Linked DNA regions of Drosophila melanogaster. The protein of the gene in region 2 purifies or fractionates together with the protein of the main gene of each other region. This does not show direct contact. Each region holds a gene or a part of one and is shown on either strand. Other genes may lie near its edges.

The links.
Region 1: the proteins of CG11700 (region 2) and Graf purify together in Drosophila melanogaster (affinity purification with western blotting, with the first as the bait; one study listed by BioGRID). This does not show direct contact.
Region 3: the proteins of CG11700 (region 2) and lqf purify together in Drosophila melanogaster (affinity purification with western blotting, with the first as the bait; one study listed by BioGRID). This does not show direct contact.

Annotation. Positions count from the first base shown.
Region 1 is NC_004354.4:15,756,787-15,762,959, forward strand, and holds the start of Graf (GTPase regulator associated with FAK), read right to left. Parts: upstream 3,864-6,173; 5' UTR 3,454-3,863; intron 3,409-3,453; exon of another isoform or gene 3,339-3,408; intron 1,532-3,338; 5' UTR 1,248-1,531; coding exon 1,070-1,247; intron 982-1,069; coding exon of another isoform or gene 523-981; intron 440-522; coding exon of another isoform or gene 1-439. Other genes in the region: CG8260 (uncharacterized protein), read left to right, coding at 1-439, 523-981; mRpL3 (mitochondrial ribosomal protein L3), read left to right, coding at 4,548-4,585, 4,645-4,750, 4,812-5,335, 5,389-5,809. UniProt on the Drosophila melanogaster protein: GTPase-activating protein for Rho family proteins. Essential component of the CLIC (clathrin-independent carrier)/GEEC (GPI-anchored protein-enriched early endocytic compartment) endocytic pathway.
Region 2 is NC_004354.4:6,280,669-6,285,804, forward strand, and holds CG11700 (uncharacterized protein), read right to left. Parts: upstream 2,908-5,136; 5' UTR 2,790-2,907; intron 2,613-2,789; 5' UTR 2,516-2,612; coding exon 1,610-2,515; 3' UTR 1,369-1,609; downstream 1-1,368. Other genes in the region: Top3beta (topoisomerase 3beta), read right to left, coding at 3,879-4,222, 4,306-4,699, 4,764-5,136.
Region 3 is NT_037436.4:7,526,108-7,532,340, reverse strand, and holds the start of lqf (liquid facets), read right to left. Parts: upstream 3,562-6,233; 5' UTR 3,155-3,561; exon of another isoform or gene 3,143-3,154; intron 1-3,142. Other genes in the region: ltl (larval translucida), read right to left, coding at 5,294-6,233.

The DNA.
Region 1 (6,173 bases), 9.5 Mb from region 2:
CTCAAGGCGAATGCTGAAAATATTGCAGGAAGATGTTGACCATATTGTCTTTAAGTCGAATGATTTGAGCCCGAAAGGATTCAGCGACGCATATCTATGGATGATTTCCAGTGATGGCGAGGTTAATCCGTGCGATATGGGCGAAATTTTGAGGGCCGCATACTTCCTGGACATTCCCGAGCTGCTCGAGGCCTGTTGGGCGAACCTGGATAGGATAACATTCTTTGAGATCTCTGCGTTTCGCCTATTGTTCGAATTACGAGGCGCCACCAACTTGTGGGATGTATTCGATAAGCTGACTGGGCGCATTTCCATTTCAATTTTGCCAGTCGCATCGACTCGGGAATTCCTGTGCCTCAGCGAAACACAAATTTGCTACATACTCAAGTCCAACTTTCTGGCAATCAATTCGGAAATGGAGGCAAGTTCTATATCTATAGTATAGTAGAAGTATAACCATGATATATGAATACACAGCTTTTATATTCCGCCTTAATGTGGCTAGCGCATCTTTGGCCGCAGCGACGTTCGAGCACCTATAGGGTTTTAAGTCAAATTCGCTTCAGCTTCCTGCCGCCCCTCATGCTAAAGAAGTTCAGGAGTGAGGAACTCCATAAGATGCCCGAATTTAGTGACATTCTAAAGGAGTTTAGCAAGTCGCCCGATGTCATCACACTTCTGCGGGACTCGGTGTTTAACAGCAGTTTGCTCTTAACCGTGCGCAACAATCCGAGTGTACTCGATACGCATGTGGAGTTCACGGAGGTGGAGCTAATGGAGCCACGCCATTGGGTACAGGATCATACCTGTGACTACCATCGGAAGGTGACACAGCTGTGTCCAAATATGCGTTTCATAACGCTAAACGAATATCAAGAGTACCTAAAACGCCTGTCGATTGGACCCGAATTCAATACGTGTTTCAAGCATACCAGGGATCGGGAATCAGAAGGACAAGAAGATATGTGGAAGCATATGTGAATAGGCATTATTTATAAATCATTTTTTGTATACTTTAATAAACAGACACACGTTTTACGCCCTCCGGTAAATGGATTGTACTACTTACTCTTTGCCGCACTCATAAGATCTTTGACCTCTTTGATAATTCGTTTTATTTGATGACTAGTGTGGTCCAGTTCCTTTTCATGTCGATTTAAATTTTCGCGAAAGTCCGGACTGTCGACGATGCATTCTTCGAACTCCAGAGGCTCCAAGCCGCGGCGTACATTTTTGCCGCCGCCCATGATGTTTGCGTTTGCTTTTAATAATATTGAATTTGAATATTTGCTGTGATTTTCAGTTTAAGTTTCAGTTTTATTTAGGTTCTTTCGATGTTGCTTTCCACAGAGCTAAGTGCATTCGCAGTGACTGATATATTGTGATATATTGTGTAGATTTGTCGGTTGAGTTTCGAGAAAACTGCGGTGTTTGCAACATTTACAGCTGGAATTGCGCTCCTTTTATATATTTACTATTCAATGCAAATACTGTTTATCAGTTGGTGGATTATGCATATTGGTAATCCTTCCTGCAAAGACAACTGATATAAGATATCTTTTTAAACAACAAGTAGAGTTAATTGCGCAAAACTTGCATTGCGGCTGAGCGGCCAAGAATACGCTAAGTTACTTTGAGAAAATATTTTGTTCTAGCATGAAGAAACATGATTCACTCGATTCTTATCAACTCTGTATTAAAGAACTTGCATTCTCTCTTTTAGAGAACCCATTGCTTTGTGTGGTTTAAAAACGATATTTTGAGTACATCGCAATCACCGGAATATGAATTTATAGCCTAAATTGACCAATAATTAGCAAGTGAAGTCCATTATGTATTATATTTATTCGTTTTGATCGCGCAGAGCTCTGGCAATTGTGATTTTGATTTAAGGTCGGTTCCCCACATTCGATAAACTTTAAACTGTGAAATTCCGAAAATAAGAGCAGATCCGAAAAGCAAACTGATGAGATTATATAAAAAGATAAATTGAAACACAGTGCCACGATAAAAAGTGGGCAGTCAACGACTAACTTTCATCAAGAACGGACTATTGTTAATTTCTTATCGTCTGTGTACCGAGCAAGACCCACACTCTAGTAAATTTCTTATCTTTTGCAAACATATACATATGTACAAGCGTTTACCAAAAACAAGTTTAAATACACTTGCGAACACTTTCCTATTACAGTGAAACCAGCCACAGGCTGATAAGTCGTCGCCATTACATAAATGCAAAACCGACTTTGCAATTGAAAATCATGTTCAATAAAAATTGCGAAAGTCAGCCACTTGGAAAATACACTTTGAATGCCATTTATTTATGGGTGTATTTAAATCATAAAGTTGCTTACAGACGCCTGTTTACTACATTGTCATTGTTGTATATGTTTTTCTTATCAGATCTTAAGATAGATAGGCGCAGGCACGGAGAATTCTCAGAAATAATCGCCTAATCAATATATATTTTAAACAAATTTTAGTGGATTCCAGGCCCAAGTTATCAAGGAAACAATGACGCAGATAAATGTATATACACCCTAACTAAAACAATTCACAAAACATATCCCCTTTACGCAATAATAGTCTTTCCATTCAAATTCGCAAAGTACTTTTATCCGGCTCATAGGACCATTGATTACTGATAACCAGTTAATCACCTGTTTTCACTTTCTTTGACTACAACAACTTTAAAAATCCTTGATAACTTTATAAGCCTAAGAGATAGTTATATATATGAAAATGTTAGGCATTGAAATAATGCAATATATATGTATTTATTTAAAGCCGAGTTCAGATAGTGCAATTCAAGATCATGGGAAATTTTGTTGGCGAGTTTCCACTGATGGAATGCGCAACGAGTAAAAACACAGCTGTTGCTATGTATTTTCGCTAGATATACCTTAATACCTGTTGAATACGAACTTATGGTGGATTTTTGGGGCTTAAAAAACAGTTAAACATTCCGTTTTAAATTATCTTATCGGTTTTTTTTTACAGTTAAGCCCGCTTAAAATTGTTGCATGAAGCTAGGTATGTACAGGCATACTTGCATACTTGCATACATACAGATGTGCACCGCCTGTATTTGTATGTTGTGTACATTTGTTATTTAAAAATAACTTTAGTTTATGTTCGCTTACTGATAAATAACTCATATGCGCACTTTACAACACTATGTGCATAAGAATGTGTTGAAGGGAGGGGTGGGCGAGAGTTTTTATCGTTTCCTCTTTTTTTTTGCATAAACTTGTTAAATTTCGATGTACATATGTAAACATTCGATCTTAAAACAGGTTGCGAGGCCACTAACACCATAATTTCGATATCGGACATACCCCTGGGATGAAATTCAACTGCAGCACCAAATCCTTTGTTTATTTCGCATGCATGTAGTTGTTTAAAAAACTAAATAATATATATATATCAGCATACATATACGTAGATACACACCAGCACACATACATACGCAATGCAATGGAATCACAAATAAATAAATAAATCAAATCCTTATAAACGAATCGTCGAGGGGCTCATGTTTAGACGCTTTTCATATGACTTTAGCCCATTGGAATTCACTTATACAAAAATAAATGCTCTTAGTTACGAAAGGCAACCGTCGGTAGTTTTTCGCGTACCGCAACCGCACACACATTTGTGCCCGTGTTAAAATTACTCACAGAGTAAACATTAGTGTATGAGTAATTTCCCAATATCTAATGTTGCTCTGATCGAAGAACGCAAATTGGCCGTGTCGTGTCGCGCGTTTCGCATCAATTACGCGATATTATTCAGCATCAATTGCATATTTCGTTTCATTGTATTCTAAATGCACCACAATATATATATATTACTTTGACTGTTAAATCTCCGATTAGAAAAAAAAATTAATGTAGGTCTGATAAAAATACACAAGTTATCTGAACGTGCTGTTAAGTATATTAACTGTGCTGTTAAGCGCATCAAATACCCTGTCTCCACCGCGACACTAACATTTGCAGGAGTGTCCATAAGCTTTTGCCGTGCCATCTACTTCTCATGCGTTCCAACAACCACCTGTTACTTACTTGTTCGCATTTCAACGCATTACTCTCTCCCATTCTCTAACTTTAATTGACAGAAATGATTGGGAAACAAAATGAAAGCGCTAAAACTTCTTTGATAGATATCAAATGTTTATTAAGCGTCTAAAGTTTGCAGCATGCATAGCTTAGCACGAATTGTGAATCATCTATTTTGTCAATGAACAACATTGCGCGTCGTTACATAGAGAGGGGTGAATTCATTACCAAAATGTATTACAAATGTTACAAATTTATTAAAAACTACAATTTCTGATTTACATAGTTGCGATAATAATCACATCATGTTTCCACTACTCCAATTATAAGAGCATGTGGAATCGAAATTGACCAGAAATAATCGATGGTCAAGCAGCCGTGCCCCAAATATCGCTGATATCGATACTGTGGCCGATGTTTTGACAGCTCTTTTGGTTATTCTGCACCGGCTCGCTTTTATGCTTTGTTAAATTATATTATATAAGTATGATGCGGAGCGTTATTAATCAATTACTGGGTCTCCGGTGGGTACACTTATCGTTGCTATAGTGGCCATTTAGTAAATTCTGGTTTCTCCATTCAGGCTCAGTGGAAATAGCAGTGTTTTGGTTACGCAGGTGCGCGATAAGGGCCATTTGAGCAGACCTCGACTGCGGAATCCCCAATGGTTTCTGCGCAAGGAAATTACAGTATGTGACATATATCTTTTTATCTATAAACAAACTACTCATTTGCGTTTTATTGCAACAGAAATACAACGATTTGATGACGGCGGAGAACAAGCAGTTCGTCAACGAAGTGGGCACCAATAACTTTGGCGTTCCGGCAGTTATTAAGGATAGTTTGGTCAAGACCGCGGGCCCAACCGCCAATGAGGCTGTGTGGACTCCGAATTTGCGAAGATGCGGCGTTATAGCGCGCAAAATTGGCCAGTACCCGCTGTGGCTAAAGAATGGCGAGCGGATTCGCACCACGCTGCTGCAAATCGTCGACAATCATGTCATTAAATACATTCCCCCGGAAGAGTATTTACCTGCCCAAGTTCCCACGGTAGCCAACCTGCACAAGCGCGGCTGCATTCTCGTTGGCTCCGAGACCACGAACCCAGCTCTGTTGACCAAAGAGTACGCGGGCATATTCCGCAACTCGGGTGTGCTCCCCAAGAAGAACCTGGCCCGATTCATCGTCTCTCCAGAAGCCCAACTGGCGCCAGGCACTCCACTAAATGTCAACCACTTTCGCGTTGGTGACTTCGTCGATGTTCGCGGCAAAACGTAAGTACATACGTCTAAGCGCTGGTTATACGTACTCTACTTATATTTTGCAGAGTTGACCATGGCTTCCAAGGTGTTGTCAAGCGACACGGATTTAAGGGCATGCCAGCATCGCACGGTGTGACGAAAACTCATCGACGTGCCGGCAACATTGGCGGTGGTGGCGAGAAGGGTCGCGTCTGGCCAGGCACAAAGATGCCGGGACACATGGGAAACCGGTGGCGCATCATCAAGGGTCTGCGCGTGTGGCGCATTAACACCAAATATAATGTTATGTGGGTGCAAGGGAGCTCGGTGGCCGGCCCCACCGGCGGTCTGGTCTACATATACGATACCATCTTGCCAACGCGAAAGAATAAGGAAGCCCCACCGTTCCCAACGTTTTACGGCGAGCCGCAGCAAGATGGGGATGATGTGTGGTACGAACAGGTGCACAACTTCAAAAGCGAGTCAATAACGTATGAAAACGAATAACTTTAGTGCTTAAGGTATTATAGAAACCTAATTGTTTGTTTTGAAATAAAAGAAATAACTAATTTTATATATGCAGAGTAGTTTTAAAAGTTGGTTGTAACTTATTTAAGAGGTTTTATTCAAACCTAAATCGAATAAGACCTCAGATGGTTAGGTTTCTTATTTGTTTCATTATATTCATATAGGAATTTTAATGAGCTTCTTTTTAAGGGGAAGCTCATTTAAAATAAAACCTATTGGATTTTTGAATGCCCCTCTGTGCAGTTATTATTCTTATTGGCGTAAAGCGGCTCCAATCCGTTGTTCCGCCACGCACGTGGGTCACACTGCCATCGTATATCGATACATCCTCGATGTGGCAATC
Region 2 (5,136 bases):
CTTGATGGCGTGTCGCAAAACATCCTGAAAGTTAGCCGATCCCTGGGCAATCAACGTCAGCATGCGCTCCACCTCCGTTCGCATGGTGAACGTGGTGATCTGGGGGGATTCCCTCCTTGTCTAGGATCTTGGCCTTGACGTTCCCAATGGTATCGGATGGTCCAACCTCCAAAGTGATGGTCTTGCCGGTCAGAGTCTTAAAGAAAATTTGCATATTGGCTGCGAGTGGAGAAATGGAAAAGGAAAAAAGTTGGCTGAGTAATGGAAAGTGGAAGGAAATTGATTTTCTGCGTAGTGACCCAATTCCCGCGACCCAGAAGAGTATTTTAGCATACACATACAGAAAACAAACATTATTGGTTTTTTCGTTAATTTACAGTAAATTTAGGTTTGGTGACTAATCTCTAACTTAGTCAAAAAAAAATAATAATAAAATCCCCTGGAACTGGGCATACACACACACACACACACACACGACAAGTGTGTTCATGCTCAAATTCGAATTTGGATTAATTAATTTGAATTAAAATTAAAATTTGAATTAAGAATTTAAACATGTTTTGATTCTTTCGGAGCGGAACAACCTCTTAGAAAGGGAAAAGGCTTAAAGGTCGCGGACAGACAACTAATCATCCTCTCGCCGTTCTGATGCCTAAGCAAAGGCTCTGGTGTCCGATTAGAGGCGGCATAAACCTCCACCGGTAAAACGCCAGGGAGAAATCCGTGGCCCACAATGGATCCCTTTCTAACGTTGGTGACCAACAAGCCGTAGTCCGCCCATTAGATCAGATGGACAGAACAGGGGAGGCAGTGCCCGATCCCAACGACCCGTTCAGGAGGAGCTACAGCCTATCGAGATCCCCTACAAGAGGAGTCCGAACTCCAATTCACGGAGCGAGGGGTGAGCAAGCAGCCGAAAACTAGCGACTGCAGTGCAGCTGTAGATGTGGAGACTTTGGCCCCTACAGCTTCTATGACTGCCACAAGCCAGAAGACGATGGACTTCATTAGCGTGCCTCCTCAAGGGCGGGAACAAAGTCCCCATCACGATCTCCGCATCGCTCGTCGGATCTGACCATGACCTGCTCACCGATAAAATACTTTGACTGGCAGTGCCGGTGAGCTTGACAAGGACAGGAGAGAGATCAGAGATTTTTGTTTAGTACGTAGGCATAATTCTCTAGCTGAGAGTTATGAATCGTGCATGCCATCTACGGACGGTGGACGGTATCTTTGAATTTCATTTTCCTGCCGTATATAAAAAAAACACACAGATGCATGGAATGCACCCTTTTTCGCTTACTGCACTTGTTGCTTCGGCATTTTAAAAGCAACTAAAAAAAACTATGAAACACTTGCCAAACTAACCGGAATTTTTTTCCTGTTTCGCACAGAAAAGCTAATTTATTTCTTTACATTTGGTCTGCACTTTTTGAAATATTCAAAAACTTGCTTTCTTCACTTGCTCGGACGTCCGCTCTCTACGACTTTTTCACAGCTTACGATTCGTTTTACAGCAGCGCGCTGGTATTTATAGGTATAGGTATAAGTTGACTGGAAATTCGCCGCCTGCTCTCTCCCTCACGGTGGGTTAATTTGTTTTCGCTCTCTACCACTTAAAGTGACTGTGAAGGGTCGACTCCTTCTGGATGTTGTAGTCGGACAGAGTACGTCCGTCCTCCAGCTGCTTTCCGGCGAAAATCAAACGCTGATGATCTGGGGGGATTCCATCCTTGTCGTGGATCCTGGCTTTGACGTGTTTGATGGTATCGGATGGCTCAACCTCCAAGGTGATGGTCTTGCCAGTGAGGGTCTTCACAAAGATCTGCATGCCACCACGCAGACGCAGGACCAAGTGAAGGGTCGATTCCTTCTGGATGTTGTAATCGGACAGAGTGCGTCCGTCCTCCAACTGCTTTCCGGCGAAGATCAAACGCTGTTGATCTGGGGGGATTCCCTCCTTGTCGTGGATCCTGGCCTTAACGTTTTCAATGCTATCGGATGGCTCGACCTCCAAGGTGATGGTCTTGCCAGTGAGGGTCTTCACAAAGATCTGCATGCCACCACGCAGACGCAGGACCAAGTAAATGGTCGACTCCTTCTGGATGTTGTAGTCGGACAGAGTGCGTCCGTTCTCCAGGTGCTTTCCGCCGAAGATCAAACGCTGATGCTCTGGGGGGTTTTCCTCCTTGTCCTGTATCTTGGCTTTGACGTTTTCGATGGTATCGGATGGCTCGACCTCCAAGGTGATGGTCTTGCCAGTGAGGGTCTTCACGAAGATTTGCATGCCACCCCGCAGACGCAGGACCAAGTAAATGGTCGACTCCTTCTGGATGTTGTAGTCGGACAGAGTGCGTCCGTTCTCCAGGTGCTTTCCGCCGAAGATCAAACGCTGATGCTCTGGGGGATTTTCCTCCTTGTCCTGTATCTTGGCTTTGACGTTTTCGATGGTATCGGATGGCTCGACCTCCAAGGTGATGGTCTTGCCAGTGAGGGTCTTAACGAAGATCTGCATGCCACCACGCAGACGCAGGACCAAGTGAAGGGGATGTTGTAGTCAGACAGAGTGCTTCCGCCCTCCAGTTGCTTTAGTTGTGGTGACTAATCTCTAACTTCGTTAAAAAAAAATAAGATCCTCTGGAACTGGGCATACACACACACACGCACACACACACACACACACACACACACACAGATAGAAGCATGGAAAGTACCGTTTTTCGTTTGCTGCTTTGCCATTTTCAATGCAACTATGAAAAACTATGAAGCACTTGCCAAACTAAACTCACCTTTTTTTATTGTTTCGCACACAAAAGTTAGTTTATTTCTTTACTTTTGGTCGGCACTTTTTGAAATATTCAAAAACTAGGTTTTTTCACTTGCTCGGACGTCCGCTCTCTACGACTTTCACACAGCTTATGATTCGTTTCGCAGCCCCGCTCTGGTATTTATAGGCAAGCTGACTGGAAATTCGCCGCCTGCTCTCTCGATCACTCGGACGGTAGGTTACTTTGTTTTCGCTCTCTGCCGCTTAAAGTGATTTTGGTCAACAGCCTTTAGACAATTTCCAATTTCCCCACCAACACACTCGCAAATAAGCCAGTCTGCGTACACAGATATTTACATATGTATGCGACTTAATGCATCTTGAAAGTTCCTAGAATGGAAAGGGCTGATGAAAACTAATAGTAAACGTTATTAACTTTTTGAGTACAAACTTTAAAGATATAAGATAATATACACAATTATACAAATAATTGTCATGACTTTCTCATACTAACATTCCAGTGTACATGTATTCAAATGTACCCCGTGCATAAATATTAAAAAAATAAATTGTACAAAGTCATTAAAAGCAATCCTTTAAAATAACACAAAAACCCTTTCTCAAGAAAATACATGGGGGTCCGCCTTTGTGACCTAAATTAAGCCAATTTCCGACCAGTGAATGTAAGGGTACAGAGAAATTCAAATGTATTTACTCAATTTTTATTTATTTCTGTATAGTTTACCCCTACATATGAACATTTTTTTTATTTATACTTTAAAAACTCTTAAAACTAAACAAAATAAAGTTTTTCCTATAAAAAATTGAAGATTTTTTGGAATTGGTAGCTTCTTACCATAAAATAGTTCCAAGTTACACGAGATTTCATTAAGTTGCTTTATATTAAGAAATAAATTAATGTATTTATGGATACAAATATAAGAAATGTTTTACAATTATGGAATTTAAAAAAATGCTACCCTAATATTTATTTATGTCCAAAGCCCCTTAAAGACAGAATGAAATGGAAATTTTATTTATACAATTTCGTTTTTATTAGGCTTTTTTTTTCTTGTTTAGTTATTGTTCTTCTAAATGCAATTCAGTGTCCTCAAACGAAATACGACGCCAGTTGTCCCATCTTATCCTTGGCCACTCGACTGCCACGCACCCCGCCCCCAGCATTAGGTCCACCGCCAGCCGTAACCGCTCCTCCGGAGCCAAAAGCCGCCCCGCCCATTCCGCCACCGCCTCGACCTGCCTTGCCGCCACGGAAGCCGCCGCCACTGCGAACTGGTCTGGATGCCACCGCCCGATGCTTCTCGACCAAGTGCGAGAAGTCTGCGGAGCAGAAGATGCAGCCGCTCTTCTCCTCGCTTCCGTCCTTGAACTTGCTCTTGTCCGACTTGTAGACCACATTCACCTGCTGGGCGCCACACTCCTGGCACTTGGCCTCTGCAAAATATAATCAAATGTTTGTATAATCGTCTCACAAATGACATAAGGGGGGTTGTGTGAGGGTAGCAACGCCAACGTACCTTCCACCGTGATCTTGGTGGCTCCCTTGAAGCAGTTGATGATCACGTCGCAGCGATTGCAGCCCAGCTTCCAGGTTGGCGCAAGCGTACAATCGAGCACCAGGACCCCGGTGGGGCACTCCACGCAGCTGGAGATGCCCAGCGTGTTCAGCGAGTGCGGGCAGTTGGCGTTCGTGCAGGTGTTGCAGCCCCCCAAGTGGGGCATGTCGCTGAACGGCGGATGGTTGTAACAGTACGGGCAGAACGGATACGAACGCCCCTTCACGCCAGTGGAGAAAGCCAGCAGATCAAAGTCGTCCAGCGGGCACTTGAACTCGCGATACACCTTCACATTGCCAATGGGCAGGGCGTATGTCTCATCGCAATGAGAGCAGTGCAATCTCGCCGGTTTGGTCTGCAATTAAACGTTAGCAGGGAGATTACAAGTTGAACGGTGACTGACAGGCAGATTGACCCACCTGTATGTACTTCATGTAGCGCCTACACTTGCCGCAGCGCGAGTGCGCCTTGCCCGACTCGGCCAGCGGCGAGAAGGATACCTCAAACAGTGCGTCCATGCTGTCGATGTTCTTCACAAAGTACATAAACTTCAGCTTGAAAATCTTGATGGCGTGTCGCAGAACATCCTGAAAGTTAGCCGATCCCTGGGCAATCAGTGTCAGCATGCGCTCCACCTCCGTTCGCATGGTGGGCAGCACCAGTTCCGGATCGATCTTCTGATAGCCGTGGACCAGCACAATGCCCAGCGTCGTTGGCATCAGCTTGCGACCGTTCTCAATGTGCACATAGTTGCGCTGGCAGATGTTGTTGATGTGCACCGGTATGGAGGCA
Region 3 (6,233 bases), on a different chromosome or scaffold from region 2:
AAAGGAAAAGCATGGCAAAAAAATAAAACAAAACATGGCAAAAGAGTATTTCCCTTGACATTTCAAAGTCGACTAGGGAATACACAGCACAAAACTAAATGAAGATATAATTTTTTACAAACTGAGCAAAATGAGCAATTAATGTCACATTTATTTGCCAGCGAAAGTGCTTGTAATCAATTGAATTTTAACCATTAACCATATATAGAATTTTATATTTACAAGAATATTATTTTTGCAGCAAACTCTTTGAGTATTACCAATCAATCTCATTTAACTCATAGAGACTCTGCTTGAACTTAACCCATGGCAGACCGAAACAAGAAGCCGCAAAAGTGCAAATAGCCTGGGCTCAAGAATCAGAAAGTGGACAGACAAACGTCTACGACTATGTCTGGATATGCAAATTTTCAGACCAAACTGCATTATGCATTAAATGGCGACCCACAAGCACAGCGAGAATTCATAGCAAATGAATTGATTTTCCACCGCCCTCTTTGCGCGGTTCCATCTATTTTTAAATGCGAAGAATGCTAATCAAATTGTTATCGATTTTGTTGCAAAAGCGAAGAAAGTTCTTTGAGAAGAATTTAGAGTAATGTGGTTCTCGACCATTAAGAATTTCAAATATATGTACATATATATTTATAGCTGATTAAGCATAAGATAATTACGTGCATGTGTACAAAGTAAGACCACGCGTTTTACGGCTTTGTTTGGAAAAAAGTAGATAAAACGCAAAGTACGTGTGTTACTATATTCACTATAAACACTTTATATTGTTGATAAATTTATTGAAAATAATATAATCGAGCAATAAATAAAAGAGGCAAACATATTCTTGATAAGCGAATACCAAATTTTATTAGGCTATCGATAAGACTAAGAAATCCAAATATATACCACTTTCTTGTTTCGAGATATAGTAATTTGATTAGATATCACTTTAAAAACAATTAATAAGGGCAATACTTTTATAACAACATATAACATAATGAGGCTTGTTAAGATATTTTTGTCTTTTCGGCAGTTAAGATAGCAATTAACCCCAGCTGGCCCCAGCAAAATCTCAGAAATACTGCTAAGTTAAGTGGCGTTTATTAACCAGTTTGTAGCTGAAGAATCGCTGTAGTTTCTGATATAACCACCGTTCTTTATGCGGTCCGACGGGTCTGCATTTATTTTTGTTTATTTTTCGTGTAAACAACGCACTTGACACATATCGAGAAGAGCCGGCTGTGGGGAAACTCCATCGAGAACCCGCCTCAAAACTGTATCTCACAGATAAACCCGTTCCGCAGGCATTCGAGCTATGCGAGAAATCGAGTTAATATTGGTATGAGGGGGGAATACTCATACTCGTAAATGGGCAGTGAAATTCATTGACCGATGATCGTAGTAACGATCCACTGCGAAAAAGGGCCGTTTGTCTGCCTCGTTTGTTTGTTTTCATTTGGCCAATGGAAGGCGAAATAATTTAATTAAATGTCGCGCAGTATAAGACGGGCGAAACAAAAAACACTACGCAAATGAAGTGCAAGAGTCAAGTAAAAGTGGGTGGTGGTGATGGTGACGGTCTGTTTTTGTTGTGGTGGTGGTCTGAACTTGAGCAAATTGAATGCCAGACAGAGGCAATGACGAAGCTTTCTTTGTGTTTCTGTGCACTTGACTTTCGGCAAAACGTCACCGCTTCGTTTTATTGCCAAAAAAATATACAGCTGCGCTTGTGTTGGTATCAAAACAAACAGAATGCCCAACGAGTTGCGAATCACTTTGTTCCAAAGGCTGCGAGCCTTGACGCCAGCCAGCGGTTCAATGAACGTATACACTCGTATAGCTAAGAGACGGAAAAAGCTCCCCAAACGCTCCAAACACCGAACTAAACTCGAAATGGGGAGCTGCAGCGTGTGCGTTGTTCGCCGATTGATATGCGCGGTGGTACTGATCAGTCTGCGATCACTCTCGTTATATCCAAACGCAATTAAATGCGAGCAAAATATTCCACATTCACGAGGCTATTTGACGTGCACTATTGTCAGACGTTTAGCATGTTTCCGCTAAGATGAAAAATATTGATGAAAGCCCGTCAGTAGCCCCACAATCTATGATTCCTAAATACATACTTTTTATCTCATCATTAAACAACGAGAAAGCTTTTCTATTTAAACCCTGCAGATTGAACTCAATTCTCTTACAATCTTGGGATTAACAAAACTTAAAAATTTAATACATATTTAAAAATTGAATTGAATTCGCAAAGATCTGAGGATTGGAAATTATAATTTTGGTTGTTTCGACTTAAGGAGAGAATACTGCAAACAAACATTGAAGATTGTACAACGAAAGACCATAATAATAATAAAATGTCTGTGTTAAACATCTGCTTATCTGGTATCTACGTTACTTTCGCAAATGAAATGTTTGCTTTTGGTTTATGGTTATCTTGAGATGTTTTTCTATTAGCACCTCAAACAGGTGGAAAGGGCTAGCCGCTGGTGACGAAGGTCACTGCTCGCTCGCTGATGCTGCCCACTGTGCCACACGATCGCCGGGCCCCTCCTCGATCCGCCTCGGCGTCCCCCATCACCTCCTCCATACCGCTGGCACTGTTGCATTTTCCAATGTTGCTGCATCTGTTGTAAATGCGGGCGTATATTAGGTATCATTTGTATATAATATATTAATGGCTACATGGGTGCTTTCTGTGGCTGTGTGCGTATGATAACGAGCCAGAAATGCGATTAGATTTCATTTGTGACACTAGAACTACTCGCACCTACACACACACGTATACGCACACGGACGCACTGATTGGGGGGCACACGAATGTGCGAAACTTCATTCATTACTCATCCGCCCCCCCTCGCAAACATAAACCCGTTTCCACCCACGCCCCTGGCAACCCTGGATCCACTATGACTAATCACTCGACCGGCTAACGGCAGTTATCAAATAAAAAAAAAAACAACAAAAAACAAAAGCCAAAGAAGCGCTATCAATAAGCATATGTTGTAAAAAACGGTTAGCGGGGAATTACGTTTAGACAAGGGGGATCTATAATTACGGAAAATTATTATTTAAGAAAAAGAAGCCCCAAAGAGAAAGAGAGACAGAAATATGTTTGTGGCCCCCTCCCACTTACTCTTTCGCTCACCTGCAATGTTTCTGTTATTGTTGGTTTTGTTGCTTCACTGCAGTTCGCCTTTGGTTGTGTGTGTGTGCGTGTGGGGGCTCCGCTCGGCTGTGTATGTGTGTGTCTGTGTGTGCGACTCCTCCTCCCCAACTAGTTTTCTTTTCTATATTTTACGACTTTCTTTTCTTTCTTTTTTCGGACTCGAATAGACACGGTCACAAGATGACGATGACGACAATGCGACGTCAACAAAGGGGGAAAATAGTATAGCTGCGCGCACGATATGGATATCCAAAAATCCTGGCACTCTATCGGGTTTATAGGGCTCTCGACTGCGATTGCGATGATATTGCAACTTATTTACCCTTTGCACTCTGCGCACAAAACACGAATTATTATTTCTTTCTCTGCTTTTCGCTTTGCACTAGTGGTGGACCAGAATTGATGGGCACTCGAAATATCGCGATATCGATTTATTCCTGAACCTATCGGTTCTTATCAGTTTGGAGTATAAGTATTTTAAAAATACTAGCTCACAGAAGAGCAAAATTATTCCTGTTATTTAATTATATTCATTTGCTTTTGGTATGTAAAATTTATAAAGGAATAACAATTTATCTTTGACCATCAACTACCGTCGTTCTTTTTATTTTTCTATATGTACAATAAATATTTAAGCTTTTAATTAGTAGAATGTTAAAATTATCTACAAGTTGTTTACATAGTAATTTAAATGTAACGCCGATATTTTTGAGTTGTCATCCCGATTTTTAAACATGATACTCGATGATATCGATAGCTGTGACAAATCACCTATCGATATCACTTGCATTCTCAAACTTACCAAACTGTGGTGAATTTGCTTGCGTGAAAGTGATAACTTTACTTCTCTAAAGTATTTACAGTTGTGCATGGATATTTTCAACATCAAGATTTAAAATTCTGTGTTCTTCTAAATATATTTTCTTATTGTTAAATTAGATAATCATTTGGTTTTTAGATTCTTGTTTTTGTGAGCTGCGAATATCTTAGTTCCCACCTCTACCGTTAGCGGTTACCCAAAATGGCGCCAACAGAACATTTTCAAAAACAAAAAAGGAACTTTGCACTTCCGTTTCAACCATTTTATGAAAAACAACGGCAAGAACATTGCCAAGTTCTTTAAGAAGAGAACAACAAACTCGACTTTTATTTATGATTTTATTTAGAATACCATTTTCATTTTCGTATAATTACACGCTAAAATCTATTTTCTCATTTTGTTAACGAACTGATAACAATATATTTTCTCGTTTTTTTTTATTCGTATTTTTTTCAGTTTGTGCATGTGCACGACTACGGCTGTGTTTGTGTGTGTGTGGTTTTGTGTGTTTGTATGTGAGTGAGTGCTTTTCGTTATTAACATTAGCTCGATGCGATTTGTTGTTGCTGTCGTTTAACTCTAAGTACCTACTTGTAGATGTTCAACGTTCATACGTGTATACAGTTATTAAATATATATAATGTGCATATGCAGTTGCATATTCGATATCGCCAACTTCCTGTTTCTATCGGTCTTGCTTTCGTTTTTTAATTTCACGGTTTGTTTCAATTTATTTTTTATGATCATACTAAACCAGCGGAAAATATATCACCCATTTCGATGTGTTTCAATGTATCAATGTATCAGCTCTAGATATTTAAGAGATTTTAAAATACATAATTTATATATTTGGATTGTTTTCTGCAAATAGTTTAAAATTCCGTGAAATTGAAAACCGAAAGAGTTCCGCTTGCCAACGCCAAAGCACACATACGCGAAATTGAGCCCCCAACAAATAAGCTTAAATCATAAGACTGTCCTCGTACGTTTGTCCCGAATGCAGGATTACATCAAAAACCCAGTAATCGTATCAAATTTTGCATAAAATCGACGAAAAAACTCAACAAAAAAGCGTTTGGTCTGACAAACTGTTCGATTTAGCGATGGCTTAAATAAAACATAAGAACTAAGTTAACTTAAGGCATACAAATCCGAAACTCGCTCCTTCCGCCGTTTGCATGCTGCTCCGTCCGCTCTCCATCGATTCCACCGCCTCCATCCCTCTGCGATTTACAGTAAAATAATGTGGTTATTTTCGGGGGATTCCCCCCGAGGAGCCAAACCCCCAGGCGGAGGACTCACTCCTCCGGCGGTTCCTCGGGAATCTGGAGGCTCTGCGCCGCGTGGGGATACTCCGCGTGCACTGAGTTAGAGTGCACCGACTCGGAGTCCTCCTCCAGCGCATTCGCCTTGCTCGGAGGCGGCGTCAGTGCATCACTGCCCACTGGAGGCTGCACCAGATTGGGGATGTACTCGACCGTCTCGTACTCGGTCTTGGCCACCGCCTCGTGGTCCAGATCCCGCTCTAGTTCTCGCTCCCTTTCGCGTTCCCTCTCCCTTTCCAGATCCTGCTGCAGGGGATCTAGAACCACTGGCGGAACGAGGGCAGTTTGATTGACTGTAGTGTCCGGTGGATTGGGATCCTGGAGTTCCACAATCACGGGCAGCGTTTCATTGGGTTTCGGTGTTGTGGTGCTGGTGGTAGTCGTCGTGGGTGCTGTAGTCGTAATAATCTCGATGGGAGCCACCTGACTACTGGTCTCCGTTGTTGTTGTCGTCGTTGTGGTACTTGTGGTTGTCGTGGTCTCCTGTGTGTAATTGGTTGGCACTGGATTCGCAGTGGTAGACTCATTCTTCTCAACTTCCGATTCCACAGGAAGTGGCAGAGGCGGTGGCGGCGTTGTGGTGGCCAGCAGAAGTGGTGGTGGTAGTGGCGATATCACCGGATTGACCAAATCGGTGCTAATGAGCACTGGATTACCCAGAGTGGCAATAAGTGGCGGTAATAGCTCATTATTGGCCTTGATCAGCGATGGTACGATCACCCGAACCATCGGCTTTGGAACCTCGCGGCCCGTCAACTTTAGATTGGTCACCATTATGGGCAGGTTCACATTGTATAGCATCGGGAGCACGGTGCACACCTCCTGGTCATTCTCAAAGCACTGGGATCGACCACGAATTCGTGCCTCCTGAACGGCCATCAATCGACACAGCTCGTTCAATCCCACGTCACAC